2 linked regions of the Styela clava genome follow. The protein of the gene in region 1 purifies or fractionates together with the protein of each later gene. This does not show direct contact. Links are inferred from orthologs where the notes say so. Each region holds a gene or a part of one and is shown on either strand. Other genes may lie near its edges. The genes, in order: ubiquitin conjugation factor E4 A-like and UBX domain-containing protein 4-like.

Region 1 (8,715 bases):
AGCTGATTAATATTAATATGATTAATATTTAAGAAAAAATTGGCTTGTACGGATTGGTATCATGAAAGTCGACTTTTACTTTCATGTTGATTTGAACCGATTGTTCAAAATGTAGTCTCTATTCCACTCGGAACCAGTGCGGTTGGTACGGCTTTGATAAGCCCATTGGGAAAAATTAGAGGAAGGGGCCATGGACCTTTCCCCGACCTTTGACCCCCAGAAAATTCTCTCTATACTTTACCATTGCAAAATTTTCGGGGCTATTTTAAGAATGCTTTTGCGAGTTGGCGCCTGTAAAATGGGGTATGTGTTTCAAACCATCATTATGATTCATCGCATACAACAATCTGTTTTTTAAAAGTACCGGTAAAGAATTTCACGCTAGTCTATCACAGCTATTTCTACACTAATTTTTATTACTGCATTTGAATCAAAACTCCTAGGAAGACAGAGTGATCATTGAATTATCTGATTTATATTCAAGTTTCCGAAACACATTTGAAAACTAACGAATAAAGTTCAAAAACGCAAAAACGAGGTAATGTTTACAACCACGCTTGAAAATCTGTCTGAGTGAGAAAAGTGTCTGAGCGGATACGAAAATGGGGCATTGTTACGTCACGTTTTGCATCTTACTGATTGGCCAATGTCACGAAGTAAACAAGGAAGTCGATGCTCGGGGAAAGGTCCATAAAGGAGAGGCTGTGAAGAAGAAGAAACCTTTCCCCGAGCATCGACTACTTCCTCGTTTACTTCGTGACATTGGCCAATCAGCGAGATGCAAAAAGTGACGTAACAATGCTCCCTTTTCGCATCCGCTCAGACACTTTTTTCACTCAGATTTTCAAGCGTGGTCGTAAACATTACCTCGTTTTCGCGGTTTTTGAACTCTATTCGTTAGTTTTTTTGTGTTTCGGAAACTTAAATATAAACAGATAATTCAATGATCACTCTGTCTTCCAAGGAGTTTTAGTTTAATTGCAGTAATAAAAAAATTAGTGTAGAAATAGCTGTGATAGTGTGATAGACTAGGCCAGTAGGCCAGGGGTGGGCTATTATATATACGCTTTGGGGGTGGGCAAACCCTGGCACGCGTGCCAAACTTGGCACGCGAGCCCTCGGAAACGAGATCATTCTTTTTAAGATAAAAAGTTTCAAGACTCTGAATCTGATGAAACTCTATGTTCGTTTATTCATTATCGTTTGTTACTTGTTAGCAATCCGTTATTTATTCAAACTCTTTTTTGATTCTGACATGTGCGATGTCCGATGTACATACATCCTGATACCGGTACCGTACAGGCTGACAGGCATATGGTACCTAGCGAATGAGTGTTTAATAAATAATATTATGGAAGTTTAATGATCCTTTATTTATCCATATATTTACTGTAAAATTGAATGCAATTATTCTTTTGTTATCAATAGTGCGATATACAATTCAGCAATTTGGATCATGAAGAATGTTATCATATATGAAATTAAAAGACCTGATATTGCTCTCCTTAGAAAAGCAGATAAAAATGGCCCTAACCTAATGTATAGAAAAAATATAGAAAACTCCACAGTAGTAAACAAACCCTTTGGAAAGGAATTACAAAATTTATGCGAAGCGTTATATAAAATAGTAAATTATGCTCATGATAAGTTTTTTCCCCTTTTTTATTGTTTTATGTGATTGTAATTATTAAAATAACATAATTCTTATGGATAATTATCGCTGATGGAACAAACTGGAAAAATTATGAAACCTAATTTAACAACTGGATTATGAATGTAAACTGGACTATGAACTATATTTTGTACTTTTATTTATTTTACATATACTGTGAATTGTATTCTTACTTACGGTAATGTAGGAATCAAAAGTTGAGCTAAATGATTTCATTGATTATCCATTTCGTTCAGTTTTCATGTACGCGAGCTGCCGAGGCTGATTGCAGCACCATTTAAAATTATTACTGTCTTCCCAGAATAGTCTGACAGCACAACCAAGAAGGCATATTACATTATTATTGAAGTATTAGTTTAAAAATATTCTCCTTTAAATTAGTTGAATAAGGTCTATTGCAATGGTGGGCAAACCGCGTCTCGCCAGAGTTTTTATGCGGCTCTCCTCGCTAGCAATAATTATGATCCAAATTTAACTAAAAGAAGCTGTAGCGAAACAGTTTTTTTTTAATTGTTAAGCGGTTGAGGAAGTTTTTATCAATGATTAATACAAATTATGTTTTAGCATGAAAATGGTAGCGTGCAATTTGAAGTTAAATCAGTCAAACGACAAATATTACATCACAATGCTGCAATGATCAAATGAACGAATGATCAAAACTTGTTAGTAATGTTTATTATATTGTATGTTTACAGATGATATTCAAACTTAGTAAATGGAAAGCTAAATTGTTAAGAACATCACAATGCTGTCAAGCAAACTATGCCATGTTTCATTATTCTAGTTTATTGAGTCAAAATCATTATCAAATTTTGGGAATAAAACAAACAGCTACACAAAGCGAAGTCAAGCAAGCTTACTTCAAACTATGCAAGGAATATCATCCAGATAAGCATTCAAACAATAAAGTTAAAGCTCAACAATTCTTGAAGATAAGTGATGCCTATACTGTATTAAGTAATACAGTCACAAGAAAAGAGTATGATGATAAACTAGGTAGGCGTCGCTCTTTCGACACAGCACATGAACGTGAAGCCTGGTCATCTGCATATCGAAACAACCCTTATGTGAATAGACATCAGCATTGGGAATATTATCAAAGACCTCCCTATCGAGACCCTTATGATCGTTATACTAGAACACAGCGAAATGAATGGAGGCATGAAACGAACTACAATGAGCATTCTCGTGACAGACTAACTAATTATTGGTTTCATTATTATAGACAACAAGGTCACGGTGCTGGAAAAGTTAATTTAAACTCTAATCAAAACCCAGATGTTCTTATGAAAGTGTTTGTTATATGTATTTTGGGGTTACTTTCTTTTAGATTTTTTGTGGCTTTTAAAATCTCTCGTAACAGGACAGATATTGACAATTGGGAGGGAACAGAATTAATAAAACATAAGAAAATATTAAGGGAACCATCAGACTCTAATGAGCCACAAACAGCATTTTCTGGTAGTGTTAATATTGCGCATCCAAAATTAGAGGATGCCTAAGAGGGTTTATATGTTGAAATAGGTCGATGCTGTTTGTTAAAAATTAGGAAAATATTTCTTTCCTATTTAATAGATATGTCACATAGTTGAGATTTATTATTTAGAATCTCGAAAAATTTAAAAAAAAATTACTCTTTATTTTCGCCATGTAGCCTACTTCTGACTAGTAGCATTTGCTAATAATCTGAAAGTGAGTAATGATCAAATAAAGATATCCAATTATTTTATAAAATCAAAATCAAATTTTTTTGAATATTATACCTATTTAATTTATTTTTCAGTCTTTTCATACTAGACATATGAAAGAAATAGTGTTTGAATGAAGTTCAGTCTACGACCTATTTGTTTTTGCCATTTATGTAATGTTATCTCAAGGTGCTCCCACATTCAACTTGATGCAAATATTGCTGAAAAAAATATAAATATCTATTGCACTTGTTTTTTGTTTTTGATGATAAGATAAGAATTTTTGTATTTATGCCAAGAAAAATGGCAGTCAATAAGTGACAGCTTATTAATAATCATTCAACAAACCATGCCAATGGGTGACGACTGACGAGGAAGTCATGTTCAACCAGCCAGGGATGCCAAGAAGTCTGGCAGTTTTTTCAAACAAATAATGCCCCACAGAAGTAATCGATGTGACCATTAATAAATTATATTCTAGACTAGACTGTGAAGTTGATTAGCCAGTCCAATATACTGTCAAATGTATAATTATTTTCTCAGAAAGTATTTAAGTCTTTATATTAAATAAAGGCATTATGCATTAATGCCATGTCTTTTAATAGCGTCTTTAATGCATGTATGCAAGTCCGACCATATTTTCCAATTAGGGGCTTCTGTATAAGTCAGTGGAAAAGCCAAAGTCATTATGAAACATTGGATATACCAGAAGATTCAAATTTAGACCAAGTTAAAACTGCGTTCATTTCTAAGTCCAAAAAGTATCATCCTGATAAGAACTACGGTGATGAAGAAATGCATGCAAAGTTTGTAAAACTGAATGAAGCATATACTGTTCTTTCTGATCCAAACCTGAGGTCTGCATATAATTTTGAATTGATGAAAAAAAGCAGGATGTACTCATCTCCTTTAATACAGAGGTCAAAGGATTATAAAAGCCCATATCGGAAAAATAGGGATGATTCAACAGATTGGAGTGATTTTTATAGTACTTATGGCGGTGGAAAAGCATACAGAGACATGAAAGCTGAATCTGACTCTGAATTTTGGACACAATATTGGGAGAATACAAAAAAATTTGGAGGGGGTGAGATGCAAGAAGGGATGAGCCCTCCCCCCAAATCAACAATTGGAACAGAATTGGTCGTTATTTCGGGAGTATTATTCGCAGTTTATGTATGGGGGATGTATATCCTATCTGGCAGGGAGCCGCATAATGCTGACAGCTTTAATTCTGAACATGAAAAATGGTTACTGGCACGTCAGAAAAAATGATGCCATTTTTAAATTTTTTGGATAAGGCCATTGTTCAGTTCAGCACTATTTGCCACCTCTATTTCTTTATATATGAATTCTAGTCCATGCATCTCACAATTGACTGTTAACTATTTCTGTATCAGAGATTCAGACCTTAAGAATTGATAAAGAATGAACAAGCAATATGTTTCAAGTTGTATTGTTGCACTGTAAAGTAACAGCTCATTTTGAAATACTGTCTTTCTTCAGTTTTCAGTTGACATGGCCGAAAGGCCATGGACAGCGACATAGTTAAATGGTGTTACCGAATTAAAAAATCCTGTTGTATAGGCAAATTCATGATCTATTTTTGAAATGGAACAGAACCTTACTTCAGTGTTATTTTTGACCCATTGTACTATGATTTGCTTCAAAAGTCTTGTGATTTGTTCTTATGATCTTATTATGTCGATTATAAGGAAAATGTTCTACTCTAAGAAACTAAGGTGTATGAATTTTACAAAACTATCTTCCCACCATTATATATTATATTGAAATAAATTGCGGAACTATTTATGATTATTGCCAATCTTTATTTCTTTTTTAATGAATAGCCCCTGTTAGTTATTATTATACTGTAATATAAAAATAGCATGGATAATAGAGCAAGCAGTAGTAATGCTGAAATGCAAAGCAACCCATTTGCAGCTTTACTAGCTAATTCTTGCAATGAACCTATGGAGGTTCCAAAACTATCAACTCAAACTGATTCACATATTGATGAAAGCGGAATTGATTTGCCGGGACAAGTCATCGAAAGCGAAAAAGAATCTCAAGATGTCACTCAAATGACTTTTCCAAGTGAATTATCGAACTCAAAGTTGAACCAACATAAAAATGATTTAGCGGAAAGAATTTTTCTTTTGACTGATAATCAGCACCTTAATACCAGTGAGGAAGTGAAAAGAGATTTGCCTTCTTTCTGCGTTTTACTGGATAATGATGAAAGTGGTCCATTGCATGAAACAGTCGAACAGCTCATCTTCAACCGTCTTTTGTTAATAGACCCTGAAAAATCTCTCGTGAAGCGATCAGAAGAACATAATGAAACTACAGAAAAGGAGGCAAAAGAGGATCGTCCTCTTGTTTATTTATTGCAATCTTTCAACAGATTAATGCATGAAGAAAAATATATTCCACCAAATCTTTTATCGACAATATCATTTTATCGTCAACTGATTGTTCGAAATATATCAACTGCGTTTATTAGCCCAGAATTATTTATGGAAATTGGAAAAGAAAAAGGAATGGTTCACCAACAGTTTTATAATATGCTTGTATCGAATGATTGTTCGGATCCCACAAGCCCTCCTAGACTTTGCTTGTATAGTGTTGCTGATTATTTCTCAATGAATGAGCCTGATCTGATGGAAGCCGCTTTTGCACCATTGCTGGAAGTTCTTGCAAATGATCTCGGCCTTGATGATTTATTAGATGCCGGATTACACGTTCATCTTGCTGTTTTGTCAACGTTCGCTGAGCATCCTGGCTTAGCAGTTGTTACTTTGAATCATGATGCTAAAATAGATGGAAAGTTGGTTATGGAAGGAACACAAAAGAAAAGTTTTCTTGACATTTTATTCGGAAAGTCGTGTCTTGTTCCAGATCCACAAACAAAAGCGTATTTGTTTTTTGAAGATGTTGCGAGGATGGGTCCAACTGAGGTCGAAAATGAGGAATATCATCTTCAGAATAAAACAGATGGGTTCCATTCTCAACTGTTTTCTATTATTAGACAGTTTCTGAAACACAAGTCTACCCGTTCTAAGACTTTGCAGTGGTTTGGTAATACCATTGCTCATCATGGTTATCTTGCAAAAATGTGGTCGCACGAACACGTCGATGTTTTTATGGATGTGTTTGGTCCAGATGCGACACAACTTAATATTAGCAGCGTATTACTTCGTCTTTGTTTGCCCTTTTGCTCAGAAAAAACTGTTGTAAAAGGTATTGAAGAGGGGTCCTCGAAATCAACACCTCCCAAGTTTTTAAAAATTAATTCATCATATATTGATGTCACGGGACAGCCTGATGCCCATGCCAAGGGTGTACATGGCGTTCAATTACACAAGGATACCCGGTTGCAATCAACTGAAGACAATACACCAGCGCCAGTAACTATAGCTGACTCGTATAATTTTATCACAGAGTGCTTTTTCTTAACACACCGTTCAATTTATCTCAGTGTCCATGGCCTTATCAAAAAATTTTATAAGTTGAATCGAAGTTTAAATCGTGATGAAGATGTTTATCGTCAGATTCGTGCTTCTGGACAAGATCCAAATGGACACGCAGCTCTTGTTGTCAAAAGGTTCGAGACGGGTATGCGTAATTATTTGAGTATAAAAGGAGTGTTAACTGAGCCCGCTTTTCTCAAAGCGTGCATTCGACTTCATGGTACAACAGCACAATACTTGAATCATATTGCCATGTCAGACAACAATGATACACTGGCACGAGTTGTTCTACCCCTTCCTGAGGGCGAAACTGTGCCTAAAGGTCTTTACTGCATTCCTGAATATGTTGTGGAAAACCTTACCGATATGCTATTGTTTATTTGGAGGTTCGATCGTTCATCGGCGCACTTGTTTAACCCATTTATCCATGACATTCTTCTTGTTATTACGATTTACATGGGAAATAAAAGTAGAATGTCAAATCCACATTTGCGTGCCTCTCTTGCTGAAGTGTTACCAATTGTAATGCCTTTATCTGAAGATGATAATTCAAAAAGCAACAAAGAAGAAATTTTCAATGCTTTCCCACATTCTCCATTTTTAACTGTTGCTACTCTTCAGCTTTTTGTCGACATAGAGTTTACTGGCGATCCAAATCAATTTGAGCAAAAGTTTCACTATAGGCAACCCTTGTATCAAATCCTAAAATATCTATGGCAGAAGAAATCTTGTAATGACATGATCAAGAAGCATGTAAGATTGGCTATCAGTAATATTGATGAGGTTTCGCATCCTTTGTTTTTGCAATTTACGAACCTGCTTCTCAATGATTCTATTTATTTATTGGATGAAGCCATGGGGTTCTTGACACAAATAAAAGGCCTTGAACGTGAGAAAGCAGCAGGCGAATGGGAAGAATTGAATCAACAGGAAAAAATGCAAAAAGAAGGGGAGTTGAGACAGTTAGGAATGCTGGCAAAATATCACAATTTATTATCAAATGACACTTTAGACACCTTGGTTTATCTCACAGAAGCCAAAGAAGTCAAAGAACTTTTTAGTCATCCATCTCTGGCTGATAGAGTAGCTGCCATGCTTGATGACTTTTTGTTAAAATTAGTTGGGCCGAAAATGGGTGCGCTAAGGGTACGAGATCTTTCCAAATACCAGTTCAAACCAAAAGTACTTGTAGTGGACTTATGCCAAATATATGTCCACCTTTGCGTAAAAGATGATTTTTGCCATGCTATATCAAAAGATGGTAGGTCATATTCTAATAAGTTATTTCCAATGGCCTGTCAAGTTCTTAGACGTATCGGTAATGAAGAGTTACGACAGAAAATGATGGAAATATCTGAACGCGTCAAACTCTTTAGCAGTCAAGAGGAGGAAGAAGAAGAGATGTTTATGGATGCTCCTGATGAATTTTTTGATGCCTTAATGTCAACATTAATGCGTGATCCTGTGACTTTACCAACATCAAAACAGGTTGTAGACAGATCTACTATATCAAGACATCTGATGAGTGATCCCACTGACCCATTTAACAGATCTTCTCTTACAATGCAAGATGTTATCCCAAACACAGAGTTGAAAAATAAAATCACGCTCTGGATTGAAGAGAAGAGGAAGAAAAAACTTGATGAATCTGATAGCTAGTTCCAATACCATATTTTATGGCTACTGCCGCTATGCAATTGTGTTGTGTGTATAATTTTCCTTTATCCATGGTAGGTGGTGACTCAATCATACAGTGAACTGGGTCAAGTATAAGATTGTACAAATTCAATTCGCTGAAATATAGGATTCGCTTATGTATATTTGTACAAATTGCTGTACAATGATGGGAATATACCAAACAATCGACATCGACCGTTTATAC
Region 2 (9,397 bases), on another chromosome or scaffold:
TTGATCATCAAATGCAAAATTGCTAGGCATATATGACCTTTATGTAATATGTATTCTACAACATAAATTTTCAGCTGCACTATCAAATGTATACAGAATATTCAAACAAAATTGCATTGAATCATTCTCGCAACACTAGTATATAAATTACAATGTTACCGCTATTAGCTTCCTCTTGAACCTCTGATGAACTTTTTGCTGCATTTGACTCAAACTAAAAGAATTAATGTAAGATAGTAAATATCTCAATCTCATATTGGCTTATTCAGTTATAAAAATAAACTGAGAAATCAAATACAACAAAAAATGCAACATAATTAATATATTATTTTGAATTATTCCAATCATCGTTAATATTATTCACAATATTACCAATTTAACAAAGGAAATCACATTGAGTGTACTATCACTAAATTTGTTAAATAGGCTATGAGAAAAGATTAACATTATTGCCTTATGTATCTGATAATCTGAGCTTAAATCAATATAAAATATAAAAGCATAATACTTGAAAATTGTTTTATTTCATACCTTGGTAATATTCCGAAGGTTCTGTACAAAATCATCAAGTGAAGACTGCGCATAAATCACTTCTAATACTTTACCACTATTATCAATAAAATGTGCACTTGGTACTTTTAATACCGGATCTTTCAGTATTTAAATTAAAATACAGTTCAGGAATTAGTAATAAGTGAACAATAGCATAATGTGATTGATATAAAAATTGTATTTGATTTGTCATTCGCAAATATACCAGATGAATTTTATACCGAAAAAATGAAAATGTTCAACATTAGCATAAAGGTTGGCATGGGATTATGCTCCAATCATGAGCAATACATTTTGATCCATATTTCAATGCAGCATTTTCATGGACAACAATGATTTAGTTCGAATTGAATTGATTGTATATATATTTAAATTAAAGACTACAGGAATTTTTTACAGAACAGTAATAGTTCAGTTGAACCCATATTACAAAATCTGGCAATCTGGGCAGTTAACAGTCGAAATTTAACAGTTGATCATCTAATTTCAGTCAGTCATATCAATCGTATATATAGTATCATTGAATTGTATTACTTGCTTATTAAAAGGATACAAATTGCCGAAAACTGTTTGCAGCCCTCACTAAAGAAAAAAAATAAAGTTGTTTATGAATTCGAAAATTCAATCTATTCACAAAGTCAGTAGACTATAGAACACTGCGAACTACTGAATGGGTTAGATCATGATGGTATGTTTATTATAAACAATTTTTATAATAGTATGTTATTATGCTAACAAAATAAATTTTGTATTTTACTTCTTCAAACAGGCCACTGTCATGTGTGATATTCGTTCAATATAATGCAATGCAAACATCCTGGGTCTCGTGTAGTTTCGAACCTAAGTACTTCTAGTGGGCGTAACATACCAATTTCACATGTCAATCCTATCCCCCGCCTAACTACGTCATTCAAAAATTAAATCACAGAGGTTGCCAAAGTATACCTACGATCGCCCGAAATAGAATCTGCGCCGACAACAAAAAAATCACTAACGGCAGCAAACCTTTACATATGAGGATAGTTGCGATGAGAAAACGAGAGAAATAACTTGCTTGATTTTGGGTGATCGTCTGCGCGTCTTGGATGATAGTTCGTAATTTTGAAAGGCTATATTACGTCACTGTGAAGTCATTTTTGGACGACACAGTCAGGTGGGGGTTAGGATTAACATATGCAGAAATACTTCAGGTATGAAACTACACTAGACCCAATATCCTAAATATTAATAACTGTATTAAAACTAACATGAAATTAAATGTAGTATGTGCTTGTTTCAAATATATATTGAATAAATGAAAGCATTCATTACCTCTCTGCACTCAATTTAAGAGTAACACACATTGATTTGCAAATATTTTCGACACTTTCATTATTCCACATTTCATCCATTCTACTAGATTCTTCATCATCACCTTGAAGTTATAAATATACACATTTTACAAATACATTAAAAATAATTTTTTCAAGTTTCTCATGTAGAATCGTTTCGAAACAAGTTGGGCTGTGCACATCTATTATTCTGAAAATCTTGATAGATATTTGAAACACTGCTAGAGTCAAATACTAGCAGACTAGTCTTCCCAACTTGCCTAATGCTAAACTAGTTCATGGACAGATGGACACCATTTCGTGCCATATTTGGGAAACGCGAAACAATGTAGTTTTATGGGGAATATATGTAAATCCTATCCCAGTATCCTATCAGTATATTGATCAAGTTGTAATTTGCCAGGTCTGCAGGTTGTGACAGAATATTGAAATGAGGCAGCACACACAGACACACTACTGCAGATTATTGTAAAATTGATTACAGAACTAACCAGTAATGTATACAACAAACAGCTTTGAGCTTTTCCTTGATTCTGCAATGGCTTCGGGTATACTTCCAGAGTACCAAACCATGGTGATTTTTTGCTGTTATGATACCGTAGTATGCTAGTTTATGAACAATGAAATTATAATAATGAGATTCGTAGATTAGGTTTGGTCAACGAACGGCAACCAACTCGCCTAATGCTAAACAAGTTCATGGACAGATGGACGCCATCTCGTGCCATATTTGGGAAACGCGAAACAATGGAGTTTTATGGGAAATATTGGTCGTGTTGCTGACTTGCTGTACCGAATTGAATAAGTCAGTTGTTATAAGGGCTAGATTGTGGCTTATCGAGCTAAGCATTAGAAATACGCTCGCCACCACATCTCTGATTATTCTGCGTGGGTTCGCAGGTTCGAATCTCATGCGAGTATAGATTTGTGCGAGAGGATTGCTGGACTCCTCCACGCGGTTGGGTGGTTCACATAACCGCCATTCGGTTACGGCTTCCTCCACCATCAAGTCCATGCTTCTGGAAACAAATAACTAGGAGGATAGGATTTACATATTTATCCCAGGGGAGAGAAAAGCCGATAAGACGGCTTAATCATATGGCAAACCACGGCCTCTCGTCTGGTTACCAATCCAGGTCGGGTATGGGATTAGTTAGCCAGTTATTTGTTTTCGGAAGCATGGACTTGATGGTGGAGGAAGCCGTACGGTAACAGACCAGCGGTTACGTCAGTACGTGAACCACCCTGCGGCGGCGAGGAGTCCAGCAATCCTCTGCACATGATCATCCCCGCATGGGATTCAAACCCACGAAGGGTAATCAGAGATGCGATGGCGAGCGTATTCCTAACACTTAGCACGATGCGCCACATCGCCGAGCTAAGTATAAATATAACTAAGTACCGGTATAAATATAGGTATATTTAGATTTTCCCCGCAAAAAAATCATACACAAACAATGAACACACAAAAGATTGGGAAAACCTTTTTAAAGGTTTAATAGGCCTACATGTAAAAATACATGCGCCAGTTTACCCACTGACCCACATTCAACACACAAAGATATATCTGTATATTCAAAATAATAACTAACTAATCCCATACCCGACATGGAATGGTAACCGGACGAGAGGCCGTGATTCGTCATATGGTTAAGCCGTCTTATCGGCTTTCCTCTCCCACGGGATAAAAATGTAAATCCTATCCTATCCTAGATTGGAGCGGAAGGGCAGAAGGGTGGATTCTGAACTTTGAGCAATATGCTACCCAACTATATGCAGCAATTAGGAATTAAAATCATTTTTATACATACTAAATTTATACATACTTGATTTATGGTTCAAATACGATTCCTTAGTATTTCAAATTCTCTGACAAAATTACGGTAGGGGGTTTTTCTATTTTTTTCAATGTTGAGTCTGTAAGTGATTGCAGCTTTTATTTGTTTGATACCTAGGTGCTGATTAGGGGGACTACCGTCGAATATACCAGAATTTCTTTGTATCCATATTTTATATCTAGTGATTGAAATTAAATAAACAATAATATCTAAATCTCGTCTTGTAATGTTGGAATGTAACAAATACAGAAATACCTCAAATCCAATAAAACACAAGTTTCATAATTTTTCAAAAGTCTGGCATTATTTAATTTCCTAACAGTATTTTCAATAAAATCAAAAACATAATCAAAATATTCATAAATTCATCGAAACTCATAAATAGCCTAGATCATCTAGATGGCTAACAAATTCTGGTTCTTTCCCACATACTGACATAACACACACATATCATTTCCTGCAATATTTCTTATTCCAGATTTTGTTTTTACTGTTAAAATATCCCACATTAACTTGAAATTAAAGGTTTTCATATAGTTTGCCAGAATATCATTATGAATATTCTCACATGCAATATTTAAATTACAATTGTGTAGAAAAATTAATCTATCCCCAGTCATAGAAATAACAATTTTTTTATAAATAGTTTTATGCTTACCGGTACCCTCTTTTATATCTTTTATATATTTTCAAAATCTTTCTGCCTAAAATATTGATGAAAAAATAATAGGTAAGTAACCGGTATGTTTCAGTAAATAGCCTACTGTCATGTCAGCCAAATATCAAACTTATATTCCCGAATTTCATATTGCGGTGTTTTCTGGTCAAACAAAATGTGGGTTCGAAAATCTGCAATTATGCAAAAATTTAATGTTTCCACAAAAAATCGAATTATTTCGAATCTTTCCGGTATCGGGGGCAAAGATTTGGATATACCATTTGATAGAAGACTAACATAGAAACATACTCCAATAAAAAAAATATTGTGACATTCGACGAGTTTTCGACTCTTTGGGGTTCGAAAATGATTGACTATGGAAAAATTAAATTATTTCACGAAAAATCGAATTATTTCAAATCTTTCCATTCTCGGCGGCAAAGATTTGTATATACCATTGGATAGAAGACTTATATGGGAATATATTCCAACAAAAATATTATAGTGATATCCGACGAGTTTTCAAACTTTTTTGGGTTGTGTATATGCTCATTGATATATACTACTACTAGATGTCCAACTCCGCTCGCCGTATAATAAACAAACAAAGGCGATGTTGCACTTCCAAGTGGCGGGCGTCACGATCAGTTAGGTTCTGACAAGGTGCTTAACGACGACGACGCTCCTGTATCACAGCTCGCAAACTCGCCCTGTTCATTGATGACTGATCGAAATATTTGCTGAAGGACATGGAGATTTTGATAAAAATGAACAAATAATTGTGAAAATGAAGACACAGTCTGTCATGCAAATGACCAGGATGATGTGATAACTTCTTTGTCGAAAGAGAGCAAGGCATCAAAAATGCGATGCATTGCAAAAATGTCAGTCAGATGTAGGCCTACTGGTGGTGACAAAAATGAATAGTTTGCACTTTATGTAAAAAAAACGCTTAGTAGCAAAGCCTTTTGGTCTCACTCCATCTCAAGTATTGTGGGTTTTACAGAAGTTTTTTCTCCACTTGACCTATAATCAGGACTGCCATAACGTCCTTATTTTTAGAATTTGTCCTTATTTCAAAGGTCTTTGTTTTAGGAAATATTTTTGTCCATATTTCTAAGAAACAATTTTATTTTGACGTGTGTCCTTATTTTTAACCTTATGAATGAATATACCGGTAAATTAAAATTTGAATTTAGTTTAGATCTGGAACTTCGTGAGAGATAAAATGAGTAAACGTAAAAACATTTGCCGTGATGATTATGAGAAAGAATACAACGGCGTCAAACGAAACGAAGGGCCAGTGATTTGCGCACTACAGCTTTTGTGAATGTGACAATAATCTGGAATCCATAGGTAAAGCAGCAATTTTCTTTCACATTGCAACCCAGAAACACAAGGCTCTGCTTAAGAAATTAATCAAATCAATCTATAAATAGCTTTTTAAGAGTCAATGATTATACAAGGGCTACCTCAATACACGCAAGCGGCTGGAATTTATTTCCATCATCACATCATTGAACATCCGACACTTGATATAAAAGAAAAATATTTTCAAATCATTCATGAGCGAATACCTATTAAACAATGTAACTGAATGTCAAGATGTAAGAACACTACTTGAAAAAGTATATTTACAAAAATTAGAGCAAATGTATACGCAGAGTACTGTAGCCAAAATAATAACAACAAGATGAACAATAGGACTCGTGGAATACGAAAACAATTGAAGAAACAAATCAGCTAAAACAAAGATTAAGATATATATATGTGATTACAGTAAAGTTTTCGTACTCCTGAAGTATGTGTACCAAAAAATGAAGACACCGGAACGTAGTATGTGTACCACGTTAGGGTTAGGACATAATTTTTATTCCAACTTTTCTTTATTTTAGTTCTATTACGAGTTCAGGGACTAACCAAGTGAGTTTCGTAGTATTTGTACCTAAAAGTATGGCCTAACCTGGTACACATACAATGTTCCGTTGTCCGTCATCTTGGTACACGTATTTCTGGAGTACCCAAGTTTTTTTCTCAATAATCCATAGAAATAAAAATTATTATTTTAATTACTAATGTGATTAAACTCTGGATATCGAGTTATGTTAATAGTGCTATTGATGTTTTTTAAGGCTTTGGGAGTGGTTCTTAGCTGGGATAAAAAGGCAATTTAGATTCTATTACGTGGAAATTGCTACATATTTATTTCTTTTTCCTTGCTACTTTTCAATCAACTGGAGCACCGATGGATTCTCAGCCCCGCGACCTGCAAAATATGCATTTTTTAAACTGAAAATCTTTTGGCAATTCATTCAATATTTAGGGTGAGGGCCTACGGGCATAGCTGAAGATTTTGAAGGGGGAGGGAGGGTCTGAAATTTTTAATTTACAAGTTAGACCAAAACACTAGCAGGTCTGATCGGAAGCCGGCAAATGTTAGTTTATAATAGTCCCGATGGTCGAACTCTAAAAATTGTTTCAAGCCACGAAAAATTTATATGTATGATATAGTAAAACAATAGAGAAGACTTTTATTTTACACTTAAAGAGGGGTCTGACAAATGTTTGGTGTAATATGGTATATCACATGTTGGAAGTACCAGTAGTTGGAGCCCTTCGTACGCTGGAGAAGCAATGAAATGTTGTTGTTTTTTTAAATATGAGTACAAAATGTATTGCATGTAGCTGTATAGCATTTATTTTGTTAAAAAATCCTTGAGCTAATCACCTGTTGTAGACTTCTAGTGTGTAAAATAATTTATGAAATTTTGGCTGATTCACTGCAGTCTTTTGTTTCCAGATGTTTCAGAGGGAGTAGATTTCCGTTTTTAAGGGATGCCACGTCAGTAGTGCCGCTGCATATGCCAAGAAAGATATTCTGCAGTTTGCAATACTTGGCAGTTGCTTCAAATTCAGACATTTCCAAAATCTCAGCAACAGATGCAGGAAGAACCTAGAAAGAAAAATTTCCATGGTTTATCTGTTATTAATGACCTGAATAATGTTGGTAATTTTAGAAATAATAATTATGCTCCGAGTATTTAAATGCTCAATAGGAGATAGATCCAATAAATAAATATCTAACACAATACCTTGCTATACCTGTGTTGAATATTTAATTAACAGACATTTTTATCAAGCTATTGAGTTAAACATGTTGGTCTGTTAGTTTACATAGCTGTTTCAAATGTTTTTTAGTCATATCTTCATAAACTCCCTCTAGATGTGTTTTCATGCCAAAACCCCATCTGGTGACAGCAAATCATTCTTCAAAAGTGAGTTTCGAGCAGTCTGCAAAAATTTATATTTTAGTTACGGTATTTTGAAATAAATTGCCTACGACAATTGGAGCTTGGGCCTTGTCTATCATCTAAGCATGTATGTTTTATATATATAAGTATAACAGCCACTTCGACAAAGTATTATTTGAAACAAAAATTTGAATACCTTATAAAACAAATTAGAATTAATAAAATGTAACGGTTCCAGGAGAAATATTCAAACACTCAATGAATGTGGTGGATTTTGCAGTAGCAAAAAAGTTATTGCTATTTATTACAAATCAATAATTTAAAAACACTCGACAAAATAATGCAAAATTTTTTTGGCATATCTAAAAGTATAAATATATACATGTTGAAGCATTGTTTAGATCAGCGTTTCCCAACCTTTTTTGGTCGCGGACTATTTTCCCACCCGCGAAAATCTTTGCGGACTCAAAGAGCGTTTATTGCGCCTGTGCAAAGAAGCAATAAAATCAAATACAACAGAATTGTAACGAATTTCAAAATCGGAAATTCGCCGCAATTACGCGTTCGTTAAAAAGAGCCGACTTTTTTGGTGTATAATTGGCTTTCTTTCGCGCAATATTCAATCCAATGTCTTTCTATATTAATTTAGTTGTGATCATGGTAACTCGCGGTTGCGTCGACTTACGACAAGGTGAAAGCATTTCTTTTTCAAAATGCCAATCGGCAATCTGTGAACATAATAATGTGAGACTATATTGCCCGATTATATTTAGTTTTGTTACATATTTTTGCGATCTTGCATATTTGTTATCATTGTTAGAAAAATCTCACTATCTGTTATAAATTTCCAGAAAGTACAACTTGATTCAGTACTTAATAAAAATATATTCAAAATATATTAGTAAATGAAAAATGAATATTCATCGCCTTACTTTTTATTAATTTAATTGTGATCATTTTAATCTGCGATTGTGTTGGCGAAATAAAAGCAATACTACTCAGAAAATATCATGACAATCCGTGGACACAAAAATGCGTGGTAAAGAGCCCGATTATATTTTCTTACGATTTTTATTTTTGTGAATTCCACATATCTGAGCTGTTCGTACAACACTTACCAGTACTGTACGGCGTATCAATGTTGAGGCAGTTAAGCAAACAATCCTAAGGGAGGATGCCCTGGTATACGTATACTACGTAGCACCCGAAATTTTGCGTTTTGCAATGTCTAAAAAAGCGTTTTTCATCGGTCGCGGACCATCATAAAACGAAATTTATGGTGTTCTCCGTTTTATTTTTAGTGTTTTGTATTGCCGCTTTCAATTTGGAAAATTCGGGTTGCCACCATCTATCGACGCGTGTGCCGACTTGTGTGTTTTCGTCGAAAATTCGTGAGTGAGTTGTGAAATCCAATCGTTTGATTAAGCGACGCGCACAAGTGCAAGTGACCTGTCGCGTCACCTGTTACCAAATTTTCGAATATTAAATTGCTATTCTAATAGTTGAATATTCGAATATATGCCCAGCCCTACTCAGTAACCAGTAATTATTGACTCGATTAATGTTATGCGAATAAACTTGCTTTTTATGTTTTATGTAAATTCCAACGTAAATTGGCTGATAGTTAAGTTCCGCAAAACGTTTGCGGCTCGCACGAATTTCTGGCTCGTTGCGGACTCATTCAAACACTCCGCGGACTCATTTGAGACCACGGACTCGGGTTGGGAAACACTGGTTTAGATAATAGCAATGATAGGTATCCAATTT

What was found.
Region 2: the proteins of ubiquitin conjugation factor E4 A-like (region 1) and UBX domain-containing protein 4-like purify together in Homo sapiens (affinity purification with mass spectrometry; 3 studies listed by BioGRID and IntAct, counting the BioPlex papers as one, with this or other methods). This does not show direct contact. The link is inferred for Styela clava from reciprocal best matches to the Homo sapiens genes UBE4A and UBXN4.

Annotation. Positions count from the first base shown.
Region 1 is NC_135263.1:10,183,252-10,191,966, reverse strand, and holds the start of ubiquitin conjugation factor E4 A-like, read left to right. Parts: upstream 1-4,632; 5' UTR 4,633-5,037; intron 5,038-5,075; 5' UTR 5,076-5,249; coding exon 5,250-8,492; 3' UTR 8,493-8,715.
Region 2 is NC_135251.1:29,720,546-29,729,942, reverse strand, and holds the start of UBX domain-containing protein 4-like, read right to left. Parts: upstream 3,730-9,397; 5' UTR 3,710-3,729; intron 2,490-3,709; 5' UTR 2,457-2,489; coding exon 2,375-2,456; intron 1,967-2,374; coding exon 1,864-1,966; intron 1,135-1,863; coding exon 1,106-1,134; intron 651-1,105; coding exon 532-650; intron 215-531; coding exon 160-214; intron 1-159. UniProt on the Homo sapiens protein: Involved in endoplasmic reticulum-associated protein degradation (ERAD). Acts as a platform to recruit both UBQLN1 and VCP to the ER during ERAD.